Canis lupus familiaris: one gene and its partner. The protein of the gene in region 2 interacts with the protein of the main gene of each other region in a pairwise test. Links are inferred from orthologs where the notes say so. Each region holds a gene or a part of one and is shown on either strand. Other genes may lie near its edges.

Region 1 (7,693 bases), on a different chromosome or scaffold from region 2:
TTAAGCCAGTCTTCAAAAGCCTTGTCTGAGGACGAGGTCGAGTTCTGCGGGTGGCCAGAAGCTCTGAGAGGGAGGATCAAAGGGCAGTGAGGTCAACGGAGGACAGGAACGCGCAGGGACCGTGCGGAGCTCCAGGACGTGCTGTCACGTCCCCCAGCAAGGAGCACCTAAGGCCAGCTGGCCTCCACCTCCGAAAGGCGGCTCACTGGCCGCGGCGGGCAACAGCAAGCGGACACGCTCCGGCCCAGAGAGGACCCCACGGGCCCCTGGCCGCTGCTCCAGGCCTGCCCACGCTGGTGGGGGGCAGCACAGAGGCCGGAGAGCCGGGTGCTGAAGCGGGCATGTCAGCAGCGGCCCACCGAGCTCCCACGAGATGCATGGTGCGGGCATGGGGTGGGGGTCCCGGGGCGCCCATGGTGCAAACACGGAGCCTTCCCTGACCGGTCACTGCAGATCACCAGCCTCTGACACTTGAGAGGACGCAGGACGTCTGCCGTGGGGATCGACCTGTCCACACCACACCTGCGCTCCGGGGGCTGGGTAGTGCTCGGGAGGACAAAGGATGGAACCACCACCCAGCAGGGACGTTTCCTACAGAAACTTGCGGTCATGGGTTCGAATCTGAAAGCACTGTCCCAACGGGCTATGGAGAAGTGCGGAGCTGCCCCCTTGGCCCTAGACACAGCTTACCGGGGCGCTTTTACTGAAAACCCCTATCGCTAAGACAACCTATGAAGCTGTTTTCCCACTGACTCCTGGGAGTAGCTCACAACGGGAGCCGTTCCCACAACAGCACAGGGGCCCCAAGCTACGGCTAAGATCGGGGCTGGGCCCAGAACAGCCGGGACCCAGACGAGAGGCCAGAGGAGTAGCTACCGGTGAGCAGCGGACAGCAGTGTCTTGGGCTGGGGTGGGGTCCAGTTCTGGGCAGGCGAGGACTCCAGACACCATTCTCTGCCCTCAGCCAGGGTGGCTACCTGCCAGGGGACACAGGGATTCGAAAGCCGGGACCGTCAGGACTGATCGGCGAGGTCACCCACTCTAGCCCATCCTGCTCGCTGTCCTTCCAGGCTCAGCGGGCACGGGCCAGGGTCTCTGTCACATGTCAACACGGGGACGGGGTCTCGGTACGGAGGGGCCAGCACACGATGCTCCCCCGGAGGGCAGGGAGAAAGGCCCATCCTCTCCCCGGCTAACTACACACCGCCTGCCTCCCCCGGGGTGGGACAAGACAGCCCACACGTCCTGTCCGTGCCCAGCAGTCCCAGACTGTGCGCGGCCCCCGCAGGCGTGGCAGAGCCCACAGGAGGACGCCAGCTCCCAGAGCCACCCAAACCGCCAATGGGCGGAGCCTCAGCACCACTGGCTGGCGGGTCCTACCTTGTCCCTGAAGAGGGCCGCGGCCTTGCTGTTGTACTTGTCCTGCAGGGACCAGCAGGGGTCATAGTCCTCCTGAGACTCCAGGAACTCCCGGAATTTCGCATTCCCTCCAGCTTTCATCTTCTCAAGCTCCACGTCCTTCCACTTGTCCATGGTCACCGAGCGCACGAAGCTAGAAACCAGAGCACCAACCTACTTATCAGCACTGGGTGTCCAGGAGCCCCCACCCCAGCCAGGTCGTGAACCCGACGCATGAGCTTCCCGTGACAGAAGCACCTGGCCGTGACACCTCTGAGGGCAGAGCTGGCAAGGCAGCACGTGCTACCCCGTCACCCTGCAGCCCACAGCAGGCCCTGACCACGGCTCAGGATCCCTGCGGAGCCCAAAAGGCACGAGGGGCAGGGCACTGACCTGAGGTGCACGCCAAGCCCGCGGTGCTTCCCCGAGCACTCCAGGCAGATCCAGATGCCGTAGGTCACACTCACCCACTGAGGGTTGAATGCACCACACTCAAAACACACCTGCAGGAAGAGCCACATGCAACTCACCCAGGCATTTGGGGCAGGGCCCAGAGCCCCAGAGACCCGACAGGTGGCCCCAAGAAGGAGCAGAGGAGAGGCTGGCCCAAGCCTAACAGCAGCAGGGAGAGCTCTGAGGCTACAAGCAACTTCCGGGAGGTTTGCTAAACCTCAAAGCATCAAAGCAAAGCAGAGACGCTTACGTTGTTTTCATCTTGCACCCTGACTTCTTTCAGGACTTTCCTGGTTCTTGGGCTGGCCATGATGCTGCAGAGAAGAAAAACAAAATTTTGGAACTTACAAGTAGGTTACTTTACAAGAAAACCCATTGGTGCAAAAACACGACAACACATAGATAGCTTCAGAGAAATCCCACTAAGCTGCTGGAAGCTATGAGGTAGCGTCACTGCTTACTACAGGCAGCATCAGGGAACTACTCATGGGACGAATCTGTCCTCTACACACTGGAGAAAAACCCAGAGCAGTCTGGATGTTTCCAGGCCAAACACAATGCAATTACCAAGAATAACGTAATTATCGGTGTCCACTTTGCCTAACCGACACGAACCGCCAACACTACAGATTTACAAAATGTCCCTCCCACCTTGTGATGCAGCCCACAGCAAGGGCCTGACCTCTACATAACGTACAGACTGGCTGCTAAACCGGGCGCCCACCTGAAGGGCCAACGTATCAGACTCGGGCCAGCAACCTTCGAGGACAGGGAACCGCAGGTTCTCTGCGCGCGGCACCTTCCTTCCCCTCCCCAGCCTGTGGCGTGGGGCCGAAGTGCTCCCCGTGACCAGGAGGTGTGCAGAGGTTGGCCTGCGGGTCTACAGGTGGGTCCTCCATGGGGCCCCCGTGGAGGGTGGAAGTGACCGACAGCATGACCACAGCAGGGCACACCTGCCACCATGCCTCACAAGGACACGCTGGGGCACAAGAGCCACGTAACTCAGGCTGAAGACAAAAACCGTTTCTCTTTATAAATCTCCCAGCTCCGGCAAAACCCAAGTTCAAGCAACAGCGCACTGGACTCATGACCAGGAAGACCGACGTAGATTCAAGCTGGAGAACGCGCACGGGAGCCCGCAGGGTGCTGGATGCAGAGCGACCCCACGGTCCTGCACGCACCACCTGGCCCTGGGCCTCAGGCCACCTCTCCCACCACCAACACACAACTGTGCGGGGGCCTCTCTGAAGCTCGCCCTTCTCTCACTTGTGAATGGCGCCTGTGAGCTGTTGCCCTAATTCACGGCAGCACGCACCCGCCGGGGACCCCGCCAGCACCCTGGAAGTGGCACGGATCCGACACCCACACGGCTGCTGGACATTTCAGGCAGCCGCTCTGCTGCCCTGCTGCACAGCCAGCCTCCCCGCCGACGGCGGAGCTGGAGCTTTCCACGGACACGCAGCCTCAACAAGCCAGGAGATCCTGCGCCGTCCCTCACCCGTCATCTCAGTCCGCGGGAACAAGTCACGGGTGGCAGCCCTGACTCTGCACAGCCACACTTTCTAAACCTAGACGGTTGGGACTCCCGTGGTTGTCAGCGCCCACCTAGAAGCCAGCTGAAGACGACAGACGCGGTTATCTTCCCATAACTGACAAACGAGACCCGAGGTGCAGCTCCGACTCCTCTGCACTCCGCAGTTTTCCGTGCTACGCAGACCGCCTACCGACGCCGAGGGCACAATCCCGAGTACGGGCGCCTGGCCGGACTCCTTTAAGTGAACGACTTTTGTCGCCGCCGCACAGGAGCTGCACGGGGGGCGTCCCCAGGTACACCCACACTTGGGGCCATCCTGCCGGATCTGAACTCACAAAGCCCTCTGCACACGTCCGTCTCATGGTGACCACCGGAGAGCCCTCTGCAGGCTGCTGCACGGGGCTGACATGCGAACCTGCCCCATCGGGTCTCCATGCCCAGCCCCTGGTCCGTCCAGAGAACTGTGCCTTTCCTCAGAGGTTCACATCCTGGTCGAAAGGGGCACCAAGCAAAGGAGAGCCAGAACTGGGTTGAATGTGCCCTGAATTTCTAATTGTGTAAAATAAAATCAGGCAGAGCCAAAGTCTGCAGAACTAGCGGCAGGTGACCTGTGAACAGGAAATGACCTGGATTGAAAATGAACTCTCCTCGGTGACCAGTTTTGATGGGCGTGACCTTCAACTCCCTGAAACGCTAACTTGGATCCGTGAAATGCGTCCTAATTTTCAAAACCGCAAACACGGTTTATCTCAAGAAACCATCCAAGGATTCTTTAGTGCCTGAAACCAAGGTGGTAAAAGGTGGCTCCCTGCAAGTGGCCGTAACTTCAGGGAACGCTGACCAAGTGAGGTCACTTCCTCGGGTCCGCCCTGTAAGAGCTGCAGAACCCGGTCCTGGGGTTGGGACTCTGTCCGCATCCGAGATTCAAAGGGATGACCGGGGGGCACCGCTGGGTCCCCGGGATGACTGGCGGGCTGGGTCCCAGGATGACTTGGGGGCACCGCTGGGTCCCCAGGGATGTCTGGCGGGCTGGGTCCCAGGATGACCGTGGGGGGAGGGGGCACTGCTGGGTCCCAGGATGACGGGGGGGGGCGGGGGCACCGCCGGGTCCCGCGATCATCGGGGGCACCGCTCCGTCCCCGGGATGACCCGCGGGCTGGGTCCCCGGGATGACCGGGGGCACCGCTGGGTCCCGGGGCTCCTCCCAGAGACCGGCCGAAGCACTCAGCACAGCCGCTGTCGGAGCAGCGAGCACCAGGCGGAGGCCCCGCGGCCCGGGCACGGCGCGCAGGAGCGTGGGGCCGGCCCTCCGCGGGCGCCGCAGCCTCCGCAGCCTCCGGCGGGGCGCGCACCCCACGGGGCCCGGGGAGGACCGTCCACGCGCGGGGCGAGCAGCGCGGGTCCCCGGGCCGCCTCCCCGCACCCGCCGGGCGGAGGAGCCTGGGCTCCGGCCCCGGGGCCGTCCGTGCGGGAGCGGGGCCGGGCGGGCTGCGGGGGCGCTCCCGAGGCGGGGCCCGGGCGGGGGCGAAGGGCCGCGCGCCTACCGGGGGGTCCGGGCTCGATCCCGCGCGCCGGGGTCCGCCGGGGTCCGCCGGGGTCCGCCGGGTCCGTCGGGTCCGCGGTCGGGCGCGCCGCAGGCTGCTCCGGGGACGCGCGCCCGCCGCCCGCCCCGCCGCCACCCGCTTCCGGCTACGTTGCGCCTCGCGGGGCATCACGGGAAGCCGGGGAGGGCGGGGCGGGGCGGGACTTCCGCCTCCGTCCCCGAGCGGCAGCGCGGCCCCGCCCCCGTCGCCATGGGAACGCGGGGCGGCGTCGCGGACCGCGGGGCTGGAGCGGGGCGGGGGCCGGGCTCAGGGTCCCGCCGGGGCCGCGGGAGGCCCGCCCACAGCGGCGGACACGGAAGCGCAGCGGGCGGTGCAGCGGGAGCAGGACGGCCGCAGGCGGGGGGGACCCGCCTGGGAGGGACCGAGCCCCGGGCCGTGCCCGGACCCGCCGAGACCCCCGCCCTTGGGGCCGCCGTGGGGGCGGGACCGGGGTCGCGAGGCCCAGAGCGGCGGAGCCTGTTAGAAGAGCTGGTCCCGGGACGAGGGGACCCGCAAATGATTTTCGGTTTGCTTTGCACTCGGTGCTTTTTTGTGGATTTTGGAAGGATCACGTGTAACGTTTTTATTAAGGTGTAAGCACAGTCTGTGAGATGTCCAGGGCCATGACCTGACGGATGCACCCCCGGGCGGCCACCGCCATCGGGTCACCATTAGGGACCAATGGGTCGCAGCAGCCACCGTAGGCGCTGGGTCCTCACCTCTTAGCTCGCCAGTGTAGGCATCTGTAAATAAACGCAGTGTGTCCTCCCAGTGGCTCACTCCGCTGGCTTAACCAAGACCCCCTGGCCGCGGGGTCGTCCCAGGCCTGGCACAGAAGGGCCACCTACCGGGTCGTCCACTCAGCCGGCGTTTGGGGACTCATCCGTGTTGTAGCAGCCGCCACTGCTCCTTTGCGTCGCTGAACAGTATTCCACTGAGTGCAGCCCCCTCGTTTGTCATTCACCTGCTGGACACTGGAGTCAGTTTTAAGTTTTCCATATTACGAATAAAGATGCTTTCAAATTCACCTACCAGCTTTTTTGAGGGCATATTTTCAATTTTTCTCGCGTAGTCCCCTAGAAGGAAAATTGCTGGGAGATGGGTGGGTGTCCTTTGAACTTTCCACAAAGTTGCCAGTCTTCTGGGTGTGTGTGTGTGCGTGTGTGTGTACCATTTATTTTTCCACCCACAGTAAGACGGTTGCTCCACTGCAGCCTCTGTGGGCCCACGGTGGGGTCGCAGCATCTCCCTTGGTTGTTGGCTGACAGCTGCCCCGGTGCTCATCCTCCCAGCACTCCCCACCTGCCTGTGCTGGCTTGAGCACCAGCACCCTCCTGCCGCCAGAGGAAACCCTCAGGAAGGAGCCAGAAGCACTCACGGGAATGACGGGAATGACGGGCACACCAGTGTCTACACAGTGGCAATACGAGACTAGATTTCAGCACAAGAGCCTGGGGTCAGCAGTGTTGCCTCCCCAGGTTCAGACAGTGAGAGCCTTGTGCTGCATTTACAGTGGCCTCCTGGAGGAGGTGGGCTCTGAAGGCTGAGCGGATGCTGGCAGAGAGGAGGGGAGGGGAGGGGAGGGGAGCGGAGGCTGTCCTGGCAACGGCACAACTGGGACCAGCACTGGGCAGCAGCCAGAGCAGACAACCAGTGGAGGCTGAATGTTCATTTTCCTGATCACAAAGCATGAAAGTCGATCACGATCACCCACTGCCCTAGGTTCCGGGAGGTCTGGGGCGAGGTTCATCCCCAGAGCAAGGGACACGTCCCGGAGCCAAGACCAGAGGGGGGGCCTTCCAAGGATAGGGCAACACGGCAGCTCCTTCCTCCACCTCAAGGCTCTTGCAGTGTCCGGACGACAGGAGAAAGCGTTCGCTGAGCAGAGCAGAATCTGGGATGGTGAAGCTGTGAGTGCTGCAGAACGCGTAGCTACAAATTGGAAACATTCTATTACTCCATCTTTAAAATAAATTTTTTTTATTTATTCATGAGACAGGCAGAGGGAGAAGCAGGCTCCCTCTGGGGAGCCGGATGCAGGACTAGATCCCGGGACCCTGGGCTGAAGGCCGACAGACGCACACCCGCTGGGCCCCCAGGCGGCCCTTTATTACTCCACCTAAACTATTCAGACAATTTGCTTTTCTTTTAGAACCGCCGCCGGCAGTCCATTAATTTTCAGTTACAGTAATAGGATCCTGTCTGTGGTTTCCTCGGGGCAGGGAAGGCCTGGGTGTCATAGGACGACGGGAACTCCTGGGAGCGAGCTGCAGGCCCGTGGGCGCCAGCCCGGCGCACAGGGTGAGCAGGGGCAGGAGTGCAGGTGAAGCGCAGCGGGAGCCGCGTCATCCCGCTACTTCGCCCCAGCCTCCGTTTCCCCAGTGCTGAAGAGAAGTCTGCAGTTAGTTCCCTTTCAGGCCAGGAGCCCACACTTCCCGCCACTCTGCGGACGTCAGGTCCTGGGCTCGAAAGGCAGAGCCTGTTAAGCTGCACAACCACCGCGCATGCTCTGGTATGAACCCATTGCTCAGATTTTCCCGCGGTCCAAAGGGCAGTTTAGAGGGCCAAGGACCCAGCCTCTGTTACAGCCCCTCAGGGGAGAAGCCGGCGCGTGGAGCTGGGCAGCCACGCAGGCAAGCGGGCATGTGTTCGGGTCAGGACGCCCAGCACGAGTCTCAGCGGCCTTGTCTGGGCCCCAGGGCGGGGTCAGCTGGGTCCAGGGGGT
Region 2 (7,797 bases):
GGCACAAGGGCAGGAATCAGGTCACCCAGCTGGCGGGGTTCCTGGGCAGGCCAGCCTCTGCATGCTGCCCATCTGCCTGCCCTCCACCTCCACCCCTGCCGCACCTGATCTTTGGAAGCAGGACCTCCCATCAGCACTGCAGTGGTAGCCTCGTGGGCAGCAGTGGCGGCCATCGGCACACGACACGGCCTGTGGGACACAGAGACGCCAACATTGGCTAGGCCCTTTTACCTGGGGTGAGTGGAGGGAAAGTCTAAATGCTGACCTGAGCCCCCGTGTTGAACTAATGGTACCCTCACCTCTGGGAACGGGCAGCAGCTGGAGGTCCCCAAGATCGTGAGGAGGCAGGAGTAGCCAGGAGAGCAGTGGGCATCTAGCTGGCAGGGCCTGCCCAGATGCCTGCTCAGCTCCGTGGGCCACTTGCCCTGGAAAGCAAGAGGAGAGGGCAAAATGAAGGACCCAAGCCTGCCCCCTCTCTCTGGCCATGCCAAGATGCCCCTTTGGAAAATGCCAGGCTGCCAGCTCTTGCCTGGGCTGCAGGGCGCTCACCGGAATGGGATTGCAGCAACTGTAGCTGGCTCCTCCTGGGTCCAGGCAGCAGGCCACAGGGCAGAACTGACCATCTGGGCACTGTGTCCCAGCTACCAGCCCGGCCACCAAGGCCACCCAGCTCACCAGGGTCCACATGGTCTGCCTGCAAAACACCAAGAGGCATTTGGCGACTAGCTTCAACAAGCCCATGTGACCCTTGATTCTGGGGCCAGTCACTCCCCCAGGTCCGTGCCAGATACCACCTGAGCCTCTCCAACAATTCCCTGTTGAGGCAGGAAGAAAGATGTGAGGCCCAAGATCCAGCTTCCTATATGTGTCCTGCATGTGCATCATATGTGTAACAGCACCTGGACAGAAGTGCTGACACAAGGATGCATGTCAGGGGCGCCTGGGTGGCTCACTTGGTTAAATGTCTACCTTCAGCTCAGGTCATGATCCCAAGCTCCTGGGATGGAGCCTGGTGTCAAGCTCCCTGCTCAGTGGGGAGCCTGTTTCTCCCTCTCCCTCTGCCTGCCACTCTCACTGCTTGTGCTCTCTCTGTCAAATAAATTAATAAAATATTGTTTTATTAAAAAAAGATAAAAACAACCAAGTATGTGTGTCGATCTGTGTCCCCAAAATGTGGCCAAATGTCTCCATCTGTGGGTGAGTGTGTAAAGATGTAGGCGTATGAGAGCACCAGTCTGGCTTAGTCAACAAGGCATGTGACTCTTGATCTTGACGTTGTAGATTTGAGCCCCATGCTAGGTGCAGAGAATACTTTAAAAAAAAAAAAATCTTAAAAAAAAAGATGTAAGTCTGTGAAAGGAAAATTTGTGGGGTTTGTGGGTCTGATCTGTAGGGACATGGGGCACCTCCAGGGAGTGGGTGAGGCATCAGTGGCCATGGGAGGACTGGGCTGGGGGGCAAAGAGGGAGTCCCCCTTTGAAGAAAAGCTGGGGTTCCACTTCCCCAGCCAGCCCCTCCAGAAGCCTCCCTGTGTGGGGTGGGGGAGGGGTGTCACATGATGACGTGGGAAACCAGGGTGTTGAGAAAGTTATGAAAAGGGAAGTGTGGGGATCCCTGGGTGGCGCAGTGGTTTAGCGCCTGCCTTTGGCCCAGGGAGCGATCCTGGAGACCCGGGATCGAATCCCACGTCAGGCTCCCGGTGCGTGGAGCCTGCTTCTCCCTCTGCCTGTGTCTCTGCCTCTCTCTCTCTCTGTGTAACTATCATAAATTAAAAAAAAAAAAAAGGGAAGTGTGGTAGCCCGTGGAATCTGGGCTGCCTACCCCAGAGGCCAGCCATACCTACCCCCCCAGCTGTCCCCAACCACCCAGGGAAGGGGTGCACAGGCCGGGCCAGCCTTTGAGACACCTGTGCCCTTGGGCTCCCCCAACACCACCAGGCCCTTTAAGACTCCCCAAACATACCACCCCCAAACCCTGCCGACCCCCTACCCGGAAGCTGAAACTCAGCAGTACAGGAAGAAGATCACATGCACTCACACAGCTGCACTAGCAGAAGAAACCAATCATGAGTCTCTGGGGAGTAACCTCTGACTTCCTAAATGAGTATTCCAAGCTCAGCCAGCCCTACTAGTTCAATGGGATGGGCCCAGAAGATGTTACCCTGCCTGGAGGGGCAAGACTAGTAATGTCTATTGAGCTTCAGGATGCCTGGTTGGCTCAGAAGTTGAGTGTCTGCTTTTGTCTCAGGGTGTGATCCTAGGGTCTGGGGATCGAGTCCCGCATCAGGCTCCCTGCAAGGAGCCTGCTTCTCCCTCTGCCTGTGTTTCTGCCTCTCTCTGTGTCTCATAAATAAATAAATAAATAACATCTTAAAAAAAAAAAAGTTTGTTGAGCCTTTCCCGGGCCAGTTACAATACTCTATCCTATTTTCTTTCTTTTTTGCAACAGCCATCCAAAGTACTAATTACCTTTACTTTGAGGCTCAGAGAAGTTCGGTAACATGCCCTTGTCATATATCCAGTCATGGAGATGACAGGCTTTGAGAGCTACAAAGCATACCAGACTTGGGTTCATGTCACCAGGTGGCACCATGCACAGTGCCCAGGAATGGACCCCTGAACCCCAGGAGAGTAGAGGCCTGGGGTCCAAGCAGAGGAGGGAGACAGAAGCATTTTCTGAGCAGGTGGACAAGGCAGGACAGAAATGAGAAGCACAGGGGTGCTGGATACTGCACTGGGGTGCTAGTCCTAGAATTGCCACCACTGATGGTGAGAGCCTCAAAAGTTGCTGTCTTGGGGCCTCAGTTCCCCCATGAGTCTGTGTGGACACTGCACACTGGGTGTGGCGACGACTTACACCCAGCCAGTCACTTGCATCCTTCTCTCCCTCACCTGGCTCTCTTCGCGGCCCCAGTCCCAGCTCAGAGACCGTTTCCAGGGGACACCGCCTGGCTGGTCCTATACCTTGGCCCCTTTCACCCTCTCCTCTACACTCACAGCTCCAGGCAAGACTCGTCCCGCCTACTTCTTGGGAGTCACACCTCAACCTTCCGTAGGCTGTCCCTTGTCCTGGCTTAGGCCGGAAGAGGTGCCTGTCTGCACAAATCTGGGACCACGGGGCAGTCTTTGGCATCCTAAAGTTAGGGAGTACAGCGTGTGCTTCTAGTGGATACCAATGCACAGACGCGCGCACACACTCACAACCAAGGATGACCTCTCTCCCGCCACCCCCCACTCCCAAGGTAGAGAGGGACAGGAGCCTCTCCAAGCCCCCAGCTCTGCCATCTTCCACTAGGTGGCAGCCCCCAACTCCCAGCGTCAGGAGAGAGATTCCCAAAAGGTGAGCCAACCCAACTGCGAGTGAGCAGGAAAAGTGGCCGGGAGAGGCGGAAGTTGGCTGGTCCCACCCCCCACGAGAGGAAGTACGGGAGCGGCAGACCCAACCCCCGCGTTCGGTCACCACCCCCCCGGCCCTGCTACCCTGGAGGGGGCAGGGCCACCAGCCCACTCGCAGCCCTCTGAGCTCCAGGACCAGGGCGCGCGCCTCTCTCGCTCCCAGTGCCCCGGGGACCACCCAGCACCACCAGCAGCAGCACCAGCAGCACCAGCAGCAGCACCCGGACCGGCCCGGAGCCGGCTCAAGAATGGGGTGGTCCCTGCTCTGGGGAAGGGGCTGCAGCTTCCGGAGCCGCTGGAGAGGGAGAGAGCCCCCTTCTCGTGGGGGTCACTGCAATCACTGCTTACCCCCGGCCCCCCGTAAAACTGCCTCCTGTGCATCGGAAAGCCCCAAAGGAGCTTCTCTGAGCCAGTCTTCTCTTGCCTCCCGGCTGAAACTCCAGACGAGCCTCAAGCCCTCACGTCCGCCCGGCCGAACTGCCGAGGAAGCGAGAGGTCTGCGCGGCCACCCTCCTTACCTGTGACCGGCCCCGCGCTCGCTGCGAAGCCGGGCCGGGCAGCTCGGGACTAGGGCCTGCGGCGCGACGGCCCGCCCACCTCCGTTCCCATTGGCCAGGCGTCCGGGCTGTCGCGCTCCTACTGGCTGCTGCTCGACGGTAGAGGCGGGGCCAGCCTGCAAAGCTCTGCTTTTTTTTCTTACTCAATTCGCGGTCGTCCCTCCCTTCTTCTCGCTTCCCACCCTCCCCCCTCCACTGTTTTATGGGATCATGTGATTGGAGAATCATGTGACGTCCTGGCCGGGCTCGGCCGGGCTGCGGGCGCCTGGCGGAGTCTTCCCGAGGTGGTGTGGCCCCGGAGTGCGTTGGCCGGCGAAGGGAGCTGCCCCTTAGGGGGTGCACTCCAGGGCGTTTACAGGATGTCTGCTTCTGGGTTAGGGACACCTGTGCATCCTGTTTCTTTTGTATTCAACGAACTCAGAATAAATGCTGGGCAGCCAGGCCCCGAAGGGAGGGTTGTGAGGGCAAGGATAGACAGCTCTCAGGCCCTTTCCTCAGGGTGCTCCTGGCCGGGTGTGAGTGGGTAGAGAGATGAGACAGGCTCACGTTCAATCTAATTTAAGGTGCAAGATCGTGTGCCAGGTATTAATGGATGTGTGTAGGGCAGAGGTGGAAGATTGGCTCTTGGCAGGGAGGAAAAGATTTAATTCTACCTTAAGGGCACTTTAAAAATTATTTATTTATTTATCTGAGAGAACGAGCATGAGCGGAGGGAGAGGGAGAAGCAGACTCCCTGCTGAGCAGGGAGCTGGACTGGGGCTTGATCCTAGACCCTAGGATCATGACCTGAGCCAACGGCAGATACTCAACCAAGTGAACCACCCAGGCGCCCCTTTAAGGACACCTTTTGGAGCTGAACCTGGGAGAATGTTAACTGGCAGGTGGACAGGGGTTGGCAAAGCTCCTGAGCAGGGGGTGTTAGGAAGAGCATTAGGAAACCAGATGGGAAGAGCAGCGTTGGGCAGGGATTAAATGCCAAGTACAACGTAGTGGGCTTGAGGAGCTGTTGGGTGCCTGACACGAGGCTTGGGCTGGGGGTGGGAGCATAGTGGAAGTGGCTTCCTCGTTAGAGTCAGCCTTGCCTTCCAGGAATTGAAATAACCGGTGAGGAGAGAAAGGTACTACACAGAACAGATTGGCCAGCAACAAGAGCCAGGCTGCTCCGTGCCAAAAGGCCATTTTGGCTCAGGCCAAAAATGGTTGATAGATGCACCAGGAAAGAGGAGAGGCCCAGAGAAAGCCCAGTGCCAGGCTAGGGGGACAGGCAGTGTTTGGTGGTACAGTGTGGATGGAGAGCACCACAGGCTCAACAAAGAGCTTGGGCAGAGGGGTGGCTGGGGGAGATGACAAACACCCCAATTCAGGGGTGGTGGCATTCTGTGTGTGGGAGTAGCAGGGTTGGGGAATTGTGTGTGGCAGTGGTGCTCAGCCTGGGGCTAGAGAGGGTCTGGAGAGTGTGTGAGGCTCCTGCTGAGAATCAGGACAACCCTGTACGCTAGTGACATTTGTACACAGTTTACCTCCTGAGTATCCTGAGGCAAGGGGAGGTCCCATTTATGCTTCCATTAATAAAGTATGGGCACACACATTTTTCATGAAATGTTAGGATAATCTATAAATGAACATATTAACCGCAACTGCACAGAACCATAAAAAATAAACACAGGGAAAAAAACTAGAGTGATTGATACAAGTATCCCTGAAAAGTATCCTGAAAGGAGTGATTTGCCCATCAGGGATATTTGGCAGTGTGCGGAGATATTCTGGGTTGTCACAACTAGGGCGAGGTCCTCTGGGCATCTAGCAAGCAGAGGCCAGGGATGCTGCTAAACATCCCACAATGCAAAGGACACTCCCACAACAAAGATTATTCTTCCCAAAATGAGTAGTACTGAGGTTAAGAAACTCTCACTAAACTCTCTCAATAGAATCATAAACTGTCTCTGTTCTCTCTGTCTCTGTGAGAGAACTCAAAGTTTCCTTCATATAGCGTCTTTCTCTTATTTCATACATGTATGTGCATACACACACACACACACACACACTCAACATAGGGCTCAAACTCATGACCCTGAGATCAAGAGTTGTATGCTCTACTGACTGAGGCAGCCAGGTGCCCCATATAGTTCAGATATTTTTAATGAATGTTATCTGATTTCCAAGCAACCATAGATTATAGAAAGATCAGAGGAAAAGCAATCACTTTGAGTTTAGCAAGGATTAAAAGCATTTAACAGGAATAAAATGCAAAAGGCAGACTGATGGACTTAGAAGCTCAACATCCTGGAGACATTGGATGTAGGGGCAAACAGTCCTGGATGAGCTGATGGGCCTTGTAGGCTTCACTCTCAAAGGACAAGATAATTAATAGTCAAGGTGTGAGCCTAAGCTTTAGGAAAATATGAATCAGATGCAATTACTCTGATTGCTATGGCAAAGAAATGTGAAACATATTTATTAAACAAAAGGTATTTACCTGTCAAATGGGTGCAGTGAAATTCCACTTTAGTGGAAAGGGTACAGTTCTTCTGAGGACTGCAGAACATCTCTCGCATTCCTCAAGAAACACTCTAGTGTCCTTAAACCCTCTAATTTAGGAATCTCTCTCCCTCTGCTTTTTGCTTTTAAGAAGGGTGCATCCTTTTTTTTTTTTTTTTGAATAGAGAGGACTGAAAATAAGCAGACTTCAGAGTCACAAAGAAATATGACATCAAAGGGTCCATGCCCATTTTCCCCGTCCCTGTGCCCACCCAACTCCCTTTGGCCAGGCCTTGTGATTTTTAATTTTGATAAAATTAATTGACTGTAACTGTGAGGGTTTATTTCTGGACTCTCAATTCTTTTCCATTGATGTATATGTCCTCATGCCAGTACTACATTGTCTTGATTACTATAGTTTTTTTAAGGATTTTATTTATTCATTCATGAGACAGAGAGAGAGAGAGAGAGAGGTGGAGACACAAGCAAAGTGAGAAGCAGGCTCCATTCAGGGAGCCTGATGTGGGACTCGATCCTGGGACCCCAGGATCACGCCCTGGGCTAAAGGCAGGCACTAAACTGCTGAGCCACCGAGGGATCCCCTACTACAGTTTTTTTTTTTAAAGATTTATTCATGAGAGACAGACAGAGAGGGGAAGAGATATAAGCAGAGGGAGAAGCAGGCTCCCTGAATGGAGTCGATGCAGGACTGGATCCCAGGACCCCGGGATCATGACCTGAGCCGAAGGCAGATGCTCAACCACTGAGCCACCCAGGCATCCCTTGGTTACTATAATATTGTAGCAAGTTTTGAAACTGAAAGAGTGGATCCTCCAACTTCTTTTTTGAAATTGTTTTGGCTATGCTGGGTCCTTCAAATTTCTATATGAATTTTAGGATCAATTTCTGCAAAGATGACAGCTGAAATTTTGGTAGGGAATGCACTAAATCTACAGGCTAATTTGGGGTGTATTGCCAGAATAACAATATTAAGTTTTCCTATTCATGAACATGGGATATCTTTACATTTATTTATCAGTTTGACAGTTGCCAAGTATTCCACACTATAGATGTTACATAGTTTACTTAACCGGTCTCATTAAATAGACTTTTGTGTGTTTCCATTTTTTTTGCAGTTACAAATAATTCTACAATAAGTATGTGTGAATATGTCTCTGAGTGCACATGTGGGGGTTAAATCCCTAAAAGCAATATTGCTGAATAAAGGGTATGCATATTTGAAATGTGAATGCCAAGTTGTTTTAAAGTTTTTCCAATTTACACTCCCAGTTGCCGTATTTGGGGGAACTTATTTCCCATACAGTCATGAACATTAAATATGCCAGTTTATTTATTTTTTAATTTAT

The links. The genes of interacting proteins can lie anywhere in the genome.
Region 1: the proteins of GRN (region 2) and ARFGAP1 interact in binary tests that used the Homo sapiens proteins (3 or more experiments, as listed by UniProt). The two-hybrid records come from large-scale screens. The link is inferred for Canis lupus familiaris from reciprocal best matches to the Homo sapiens genes GRN and ARFGAP1.

The regions. Positions count from the first base shown.
Region 1 is NC_049245.1:47,830,746-47,838,438, reverse strand, and holds the start of ARFGAP1 (ADP-ribosylation factor GTPase-activating protein 1), read right to left. Parts: upstream 5,046-7,693; 5' UTR 4,930-5,045; intron 2,166-4,929; 5' UTR 2,162-2,165; coding exon 2,102-2,161; intron 1,902-2,101; coding exon 1,792-1,901; intron 1,553-1,791; coding exon 1,381-1,552; intron 978-1,380; coding exon 877-977; intron 64-876; coding exon 1-63. UniProt on the Homo sapiens protein: GTPase-activating protein (GAP) for the ADP ribosylation factor 1 (ARF1). Involved in membrane trafficking and /or vesicle transport.
Region 2 is NC_049230.1:18,956,225-18,964,021, forward strand, and holds the start of GRN (progranulin), read right to left. Parts: upstream 4,067-7,797; 5' UTR 3,914-4,066; exon of another isoform or gene 3,744-3,913; intron 695-3,743; 5' UTR 688-694; coding exon 550-687; intron 426-549; coding exon 300-425; intron 190-299; coding exon 105-189; intron 1-104. UniProt on the Homo sapiens protein: Secreted protein that acts as a key regulator of lysosomal function and as a growth factor involved in inflammation, wound healing and cell proliferation. Regulates protein trafficking to lysosomes, and also the activity of lysosomal enzymes.